2 linked regions of the Saccharomyces cerevisiae S288C genome follow. The protein of the gene in region 2 interacts with the protein of the main gene of each other region in a biochemical or structural test. Each region holds a gene or a part of one and is shown on either strand. Other genes may lie near its edges.

Region 1 (3,498 bases), on a different chromosome or scaffold from region 2:
TCAAGCACAAGAGGATGTTCAAAGTTCTATAGTGGATGAGGATGGATTCACATTAGTTGTAGGAAAGAACACCAAGTCATTGAATTCCATAAGAAAGAAAATATTAAACAAAAATCCATTATCCAAACATGAAAATAAGGCCAAGCCAATTTCAAATATAGATAAAAAGGCAAAGAAAGATTTCTATAGATTTCAGGTCAGAGAACGTAAAAAACAGGAGATCAATCAACTGTTAAGTAAATTTAAGGAAGATCAAGAAAGAATCAAGGTAATGAAAGCTAAGAGAAAATTCAATCCATACACTTAAACCACCATCCTCGTCATCATATTCAACATATCTCAATATATCTATAAAACTAATAATATAATATAACATAATATAGTATAATAGTATAAGTTTAAAGGCATCAATAATTTTTTTCTTTCATATATATTCTGCTAGCATACATGTTATCCTATTCGTGTAAGTTTAGTATGATGATGTGCATGACAACTGCACATTAGAGTCTTCCACCGGGGGTGACATTGTCACTTCCGTTCATCATTGCTACTTCTTCGAAATCACCTCTTCTTCTTAACATAATGGCGGGGTGCAAACCCTGTTGCTTTAAGTTCTTGAATATGATCACAGGCTTTTCGTTCAATTCTAACAGCCTCTCTTGATCCCCATAGCAAATGACCAAGACATATTGTCTCCAATCCTGATCTGCTAAGTTATGTCTTTTCATTGCGTTTTTCAAGATCCGTTCGCAGGAGTCTTCTTTAGATGCACGCAACTGTTTTAACGCCTCGTTAGGTGATGGCCCCGGTGTGTTCGCTGTTGAAACGGCAGATGGGTGAGATTGGTTTGTAGATATTTGGGGTACTTTGTTTTTGCTATCCTTGTGCAAAGATTTTGAGTGGGAAAGACTGGGTTGCCTAAATACCGTTACCGGGGATTCTCTCCTTGACGGTGATTGTCGGTTATGAACTGTGTCGAAATAGTCTGTTTGTGAAAGAGACACACCGTCACTACTGGGTATAATTGTGTTGTTTGAAGAAGGTACCGTAGTGGACACTCCATGTGTGTTAATCGGAGAAGAGCTTGAGCTGGTCTTCATTACGTCCAAGACATCCATCCTCAGCCTTGTGTACTGCGATTGAAATTCTTGCAATTTCGCAGATGTAGTAGTGTACAAGTTTTTCAGTACCGTTATCATGTCCTCTTGAGTCTTGTCGTCCTTCCACTCCAACTTGCTGTCTCTCATCTTATTGATCAGTATCTTGAATTTTATGGCCTTATTCAAATCACCGTCACACAAGTCCTGGCAATCTTGCAAGCACAATTCCGGCAAAAGATCTCCTACAATATCATTTTCTCGCAGTCTCTGACATAATGGATCGGTTTCTTCCACCTCCAGCGTGGATATACACCAAGTTATCACATCATCAACCGACCACTGGGAAAAGTCTTCATTATTCATCAATATTGTGCCATTCACGTCCAGATCCGGCGAAGCATCGTTTGATCCCTCATTGATGGCCTGTTTACCGTCCTCCATCTGATTTGCTATCTCTGCTAGTACGACCTCTGTCTTTTCGAGTCCTTCGACCTAGCTTCTTTGTTATAATTAGCGATAGTATTTTTCAGCTTTGCCTATTGGGAAATATGTCGCCGATGATAGTTTAAATAAAGGGAGAAAGGAAGCAATATCAAAAAATGAATAAGTGGAGCAGGCTGTACGTTATAACTGTACGCAGGACTTTTCCAGGGAGAAGAAACATTGTACTGACGCAGTACTGGAATAAGAGCAAGAAAATGAGTGACGAATCGAATGACGTGAAGTGGAACGATGCCCTGACACCATTGCAGCTGATGGTGCTGAGAGATAAGGCCACTGAAAGGCCCAACACCGGTGCGTATTTACACACCAACGAGTCCGGTGTCTACCATTGTGCCAACTGCGACAGACCGTTGTATTCGAGCAAGGCCAAGTTCGACGCTCGTTGTGGATGGCCCGCATTCTACGAAGAGGTATCCCCTGGAGCCATCACATATCATCGTGACAATTCTTTAATGCCTGCGAGGGTGGAGATATGTTGTGCAAGGTGTGGTGGACACTTGGGACATGTGTTTGAAGGTGAAGGCTGGAAACAGTTGCTAAACTTGCCCAAGGACACCAGACACTGTGTGAACAGTGCGTCTTTAAACCTCAAGAAGGATTAAATGTACTATATATATATATATATATATGTGTGTATGCATACGTACATACTTCTTCAAATTTTGTTATGATCACCGAAAGGGTTTGAGATCGTGGACGGCTGATAAGAAGACAAGCTCTCTTCCTCTGAGGACTCGCTATCAATATACCTGCTGTTATCCTGCTCGTTTTCATCATAAATACCGTCATCGTACGAGCCGTGATCACTTTCATCGCTGCTATCGTCCTGAGCGCTTCGGTCGTCGTATGCAGTCAACGCAGCCACCAGTTCATCATTGGCATGAATTAAGCTACCCAGAAACTCACCCTCCGTGACCAATTGCAGATATCTAAGAACTTTCCTTCTGATCGCCCTTGCCTGGATGAACTTGGACGTGGCCTCTTCATCGTCTGTGGAGAACTTGCCCTTGGGCAGCCCGATCAGCGAGTTCTGTAACGACACAGCAGACGCGAGAGCATCGCTGATTATGAGCCGAATCCTGGGTGCCTCTTTGTTCATGTTGATCTGTGGAATCCTATACAATCTATCGGCACTAGTCAGCGAGTTGGACTGGTACAAAGTGTCGTCGGCGCTATCATCCATGAAGTTAGACCGTCCGCCAGAGCCTCCGCCGCTACGGCGGGAACGGCTGCTCTTCGAGTACCTCTGTTTGACTGTTTGACCCAATTGATAAAGACCTGAATACGCCCTCGCATTCTCAAGGTTGTTCTGCGTAATATAGTTTAGCCACGAGATAGCATACGCCGCGCACTTCTTAATAATCCTAGGCTCATACTTTTCACCGGACCCGCTGTTTTCAGAGTTCGTAGCCATCCCTCTCAGCCTTTGCAGCAGCTTGTCATCATTGTACATGACTGTAAACTTCACGCCTTGTGAGATGAACAGATCCAAGAGGTCCAGAGTCCTGGACTGCTGCAGCCGGTTCCCATACTTTATTTTCTTTCTAAGTGCTCGCGCAGCTTCTTCTTGGTTCACGGTATAGTTATAATCGTTGTGATCTGCTTTGATAAGCTGAATCAAGGGAGCTAACTCCACTTCTAGCGTATAGTCCCTTGAAGAGACAATTCGAAAGATCGTCTCGGTGATAGCTGTATGCGGATGATCCGAAAGAAACCCCATGTTCTTGTTTTGCCTGCCTCCAATGCTTTATCACTCTCTCACACTGTCACAATCGTGTTGTCTTCATCCTTAGAAAGGATACCACATTGATAAACAACATATATAAAGTTTAACTATTACCTTGATCACTTTACACGTCAAGGTCAAAACAGTTTCATAGTTATCACCTTGAAG
Region 2 (4,622 bases):
AATTTTACCAACCGTAGAATATTTATGTGAGTCCAGAAAATAAAGTGTACCTACTGGGACTTCTGTATCATTGTTCGAAAAAATCTGATAAATATAATTACCAACGCCAAACGTATTATCGTGTGTATCATGGGGACTAAACTTGAAAAGGGAATATGGTAGTACTGAAGCTATTTCGGATAACTGCCAGCGCGTTAAGCTTCCCTCGTCGTCGTGATTTCCCCATACCATTGCCCACGGAATTTTTCTTGCAATGACGGGTGCTACCGCCTTTAATAATACGGTTTCAGAGTCTTGAATAGATCTATCACCCATGATTTGGTCACCAGTAAAAACAACCAACTGCGGTTTTTCAATGTCAAGAACTTGTTGAACGAAAGTTTCCGTTTTTGGATCTGCCTTGCAAGCTTCATGCTTTGGATACTCATCGATACATTCAGACTCCCCCACACCCAAGTGGAGATCCGCCAACTGAACAATTTTGAACTTTCCTTCATCAGTTTCTTGCAGCCGTTGAGCTCCTGTGTCTACAGGACGAGTACCAACGAATTTGTAAGTCAAATAAGCAGGTTCGCTGTAGCGGTATTTTACTAAGGGAAATTCTTTTTGAAGAGTCCAATTTGCTATCGGCTGGATGCAATCAACACCAAAGAGAATGTTAATATCGCTTATGTAGCTCCTTTTCTGCAATAGTTCTATGCTAATAGGCTCGAATGTGATGGATACATCCATAAAGGGTAGCGATTTGTCTTTAGGATATTTGGAAATTCCAGTTACTGCCTCAACATTTAGCTTTTCTAGGTTGGATCCAAAGTAGTCCACCAAAGCAGGGTATAACACATCATAGTAAAGGTATTCTGACTTTCCAAACCACCTGCGTCCAAAGGAACCTCTCAAGTCTTTATGAATTCTTTTCCTTTGTAAGTATTGGTGCCCATCAGTTAAAGTTGATTTAAGTTCATGCCGATTAAAACATCCTTCATAAAAACGACCAATATGAAAACATTCGTCATAGCCTATATTTACAACTAGCTTATCGTCATTTGAGAATCCCTCTAGACCTTTATTTTGGAACCATAGATTATCAACGTGTGATATCGGGAGTGCAAGGTCGAAACCAATGTGCTCTTCAACTCTTGGCGCCTGTAGGAAGTAAAATAGGGCAATCACTACAAAAACTACCAAGTATAATAGGTACCTTTGATACAGCCTCGGTAACCGGATCATGTTAAGATTTTTAACCACGGTGCTGGTCTTCGATACTTAAGTATAAAACTTGTATCAGAGGTATCTGCGATCTAAAAAGATTAATTTTTGAAAAAGATCAACACTAAACCATTTGAAATTCAAAAAGCACCTAAGGCAAAATATAAATCTAAATATACGTAAAATGGAAACACTTTCTGCGCAGCTTTATACAAGTTAGCCTTCTAGCTTATGAAATAGAAATGAAATATAACTGAGCAAGTCCTATATACAATACTATTAATGATCTTCTTGTCCATGAGACTGTTCATGGTGCCTTTTAGAGACTTCTTCATCACTTATCTGAGGCCTGTGGCCACCCGTTCTCAATAAACCACCGGCAGTATCTTCAACTGGAAATCTTGCACTGGGTCTTACGCAATGGGGCTTGCGTAACTGTTCAAAATCCATGATTTTAGTTTTCCCTCCCCCTTTTAAAGTAATCTTTGGATTCTCGCCCAACTTTTCCTCCACTTCTTTTATATTTTGGGTGCGTTCTTTACTATTATTATTATTATTATTATTACTAACTGCCATTATAGTTTCTTTATGCTGTCCTCACCATGCCTTTCGTTATCAGGCTAGCATTAAAAGCCTTTTAAGGTGTAAAGCTTTCGCCGCGATGGCTTTAAACAGTAGAAAATATTCATATTTACACACATGCATAAAGAGAGACCACTTAATAAAGCTAGTATGATAAGATCACCGGTAGACGAAATATACATGGAACAGACACAAACAGCAGAGGGCACTGACTTACTAATTGGTGACGAAAAGACCAACGATTTACCTTTTGTGCAGTTATTTCTGGAGGAAATAGGATGCACTCAATACCTGGATAGCTTTATTCAGTGCAACCTTGTCACAGAAGAAGAAATTAAGTATCTCGACAAGGATATCCTCATTGCTTTGGGTGTAAACAAAATAGGAGACAGACTCAAAATTTTAAGGAAGTCAAAATCGTTCCAGAGAGATAAACGGATTGAACAGGTGAATAGATTGAAAAACCTGATGGAAAAAGTAAGCTCTCTATCCACTGCTACGCTATCGATGAATTCAGAATTGATTCCTGAAAAGCACTGTGTTATATTTATCTTAAACGATGGTTCCGCTAAGAAAGTTAATGTAAATGGTTGCTTTAATGCAGATTCTATTAAGAAAAGGCTAATCAGAAGATTGCCACATGAATTATTAGCCACAAACTCCAATGGAGAAGTAACTAAAATGGTCCAAGATTATGATGTGTTTGTCTTAGATTATACCAAGAACGTACTGCATTTGCTATATGACGTGGAATTAGTCACTATTTGCCACGCAAATGATCGTGTTGAGAAAAATAGGCTAATTTTTGTTTCCAAAGACCAAACACCAAGTGATAAAGCTATATCCACATCCAAAAAACTATATCTAAGAACGTTGAGTGCATTGAGCCAGGTTGGGCCATCCTCGTCAAATTTGTTGGCACAGAACAAGGGGATTTCGCATAACAATGCTGAAGGGAAACTCCGGATCGACAACACAGAAAAGGACAGAATTAGACAGATTTTTAATCAGAGGCCTCCTAGCGAATTTATTTCTACCAATTTGGCCGGATATTTTCCTCATACAGACATGAAGCGGTTGCAAAAGACGATGAGAGAGTCATTTCGCCATTCAGCAAGGCTAAGCATTGCTCAAAGAAGACCTTTAAGTGCAGAATCAAATAATATCGGTGACATACTATTGAAACACTCAAACGCTGTTGATATGGCCCTATTACAAGGATTAGATCAGACAAGATTAAGCAGTAAACTTGACACAACTAAAATTCCGAAGCTTGCCCATAAAAGGCCAGAAGATAATGATGCCATATCTAACCAGTTAGAACTATTAAGTGTAGAGTCTGGTGAAGAAGAAGATCACGATTTCTTTGGGGAGGACAGTGACATTGTTTCATTACCGACGAAAATTGCCACGCCCAAGAATTGGTTAAAAGGTGCTTGCATTGGATCAGGCAGTTTTGGGAGTGTTTACTTGGGCATGAATGCTCACACTGGTGAACTAATGGCAGTAAAGCAAGTGGAGATAAAAAATAATAACATTGGTGTTCCCACAGACAACAATAAACAAGCCAATTCTGATGAGAATAATGAGCAGGAGGAACAACAAGAGAAAATAGAAGATGTTGGGGCGGTAAGTCATCCAAAAACCAATCAAAATATTCACAGAAAGATGGTTGATGCTTTACAGCATGAAATGAATTTATTGAAGGAGTTACATCATGAGAACATTGTTACTTATTATGGTGCTTCTCAAGAAGGCGGAAATTTAAATATTTTTCTTGAATACGTTCCTGGGGGTTCGGTTTCCTCCATGCTGAATAATTACGGTCCATTTGAGGAATCACTGATTACTAATTTCACTAGGCAAATACTGATTGGGGTTGCGTATTTGCATAAGAAGAACATTATTCACAGAGATATCAAGGGTGCAAATATTTTGATTGATATCAAAGGTTGCGTAAAAATTACTGATTTTGGTATTTCAAAAAAATTATCACCTTTGAATAAAAAACAAAATAAGAGAGCTTCTTTGCAAGGTTCCGTATTCTGGATGTCACCAGAGGTGGTCAAACAGACCGCTACTACTGCTAAAGCGGATATATGGTCTACAGGATGTGTTGTCATTGAAATGTTTACCGGTAAGCATCCTTTCCCAGATTTTTCTCAAATGCAAGCGATCTTCAAAATAGGCACAAACACGACCCCCGAGATACCTTCCTGGGCTACGTCAGAAGGAAAGAATTTCTTAAGAAAGGCATTTGAGTTGGATTATCAATACAGGCCTAGTGCCCTTGAATTGCTGCAGCATCCATGGCTGGATGCACACATAATTTGAAAAAGGGCTACTTATTAATTCTTTTTATGGCACTAAAGTGCTCTGGCCGATTTTTTATCAAATAATACATATATATCATATTTAGTGACATTTATTGAATATATCTGCTATTTACCGGTTTTTTTTTTTCAATTACGCTGATTAAGTAATCATAAATCACAATTGTGAAAAAAAGACCAAACTAGATGACGGTATTTGATTCTCATACCCCTGGAATAAAATCAAGTAAGATAATTCTGATAAAAAAATCCGACCGCACAGATGGAAGCACGAAGAAACAGGCCTTTCTTTGCGAGGTGATATCAAACCATTGATATCTTCTCAATAACCTGCTCTAGGAAAAGGAGGTAGATAGACAAAAGCAAGGAAATAATCCATAGAGTTTCATTCACATGAATAATCTGTTACCAATTTTTCTCATAAGATAAAGCCATCTATCAAAAATGATATTGAAATATTTGAAAAATGCTTGTTTTTATGGGGACCACAATTCGCCTGTA

The links.
Region 1: the proteins of STE11 (region 2) and STE50 form a complex in vitro, tested with the Saccharomyces cerevisiae proteins (11 studies listed by BioGRID, with this or other methods).

Annotation. Positions count from the first base shown.
Region 1 is NC_001135.5:61,484-64,981, reverse strand, and holds STE50 (Ste50p), read right to left. Parts: upstream 1,542-3,498; coding exon 501-1,541; downstream 1-500. Other genes in the region: RRP7 (Rrp7p), read left to right, coding at 1-307; MXR2 (peptide-methionine (R)-S-oxide reductase), read left to right, coding at 1,700-2,206; LSB5 (Lsb5p), read right to left, coding at 2,260-3,324.
Region 2 is NC_001144.5:847,898-852,519, forward strand, and holds STE11 (mitogen-activated protein kinase kinase kinase STE11), read left to right. Parts: upstream 1-1,968; coding exon 1,969-4,122; downstream 4,123-4,622. Other genes in the region: DCR2 (phosphoprotein phosphatase), read right to left, coding at 1-1,227; YLR361C-A (uncharacterized protein), read right to left, coding at 1,486-1,782; NMD4 (Nmd4p), read right to left, coding at 4,598-4,622. UniProt on the Saccharomyces cerevisiae protein: Serine/threonine protein kinase required for cell-type-specific transcription and signal transduction in yeast. It is thought that it phosphorylates the STE7 protein kinase which itself, phosphorylates the FUS3 and or KSS1 kinases.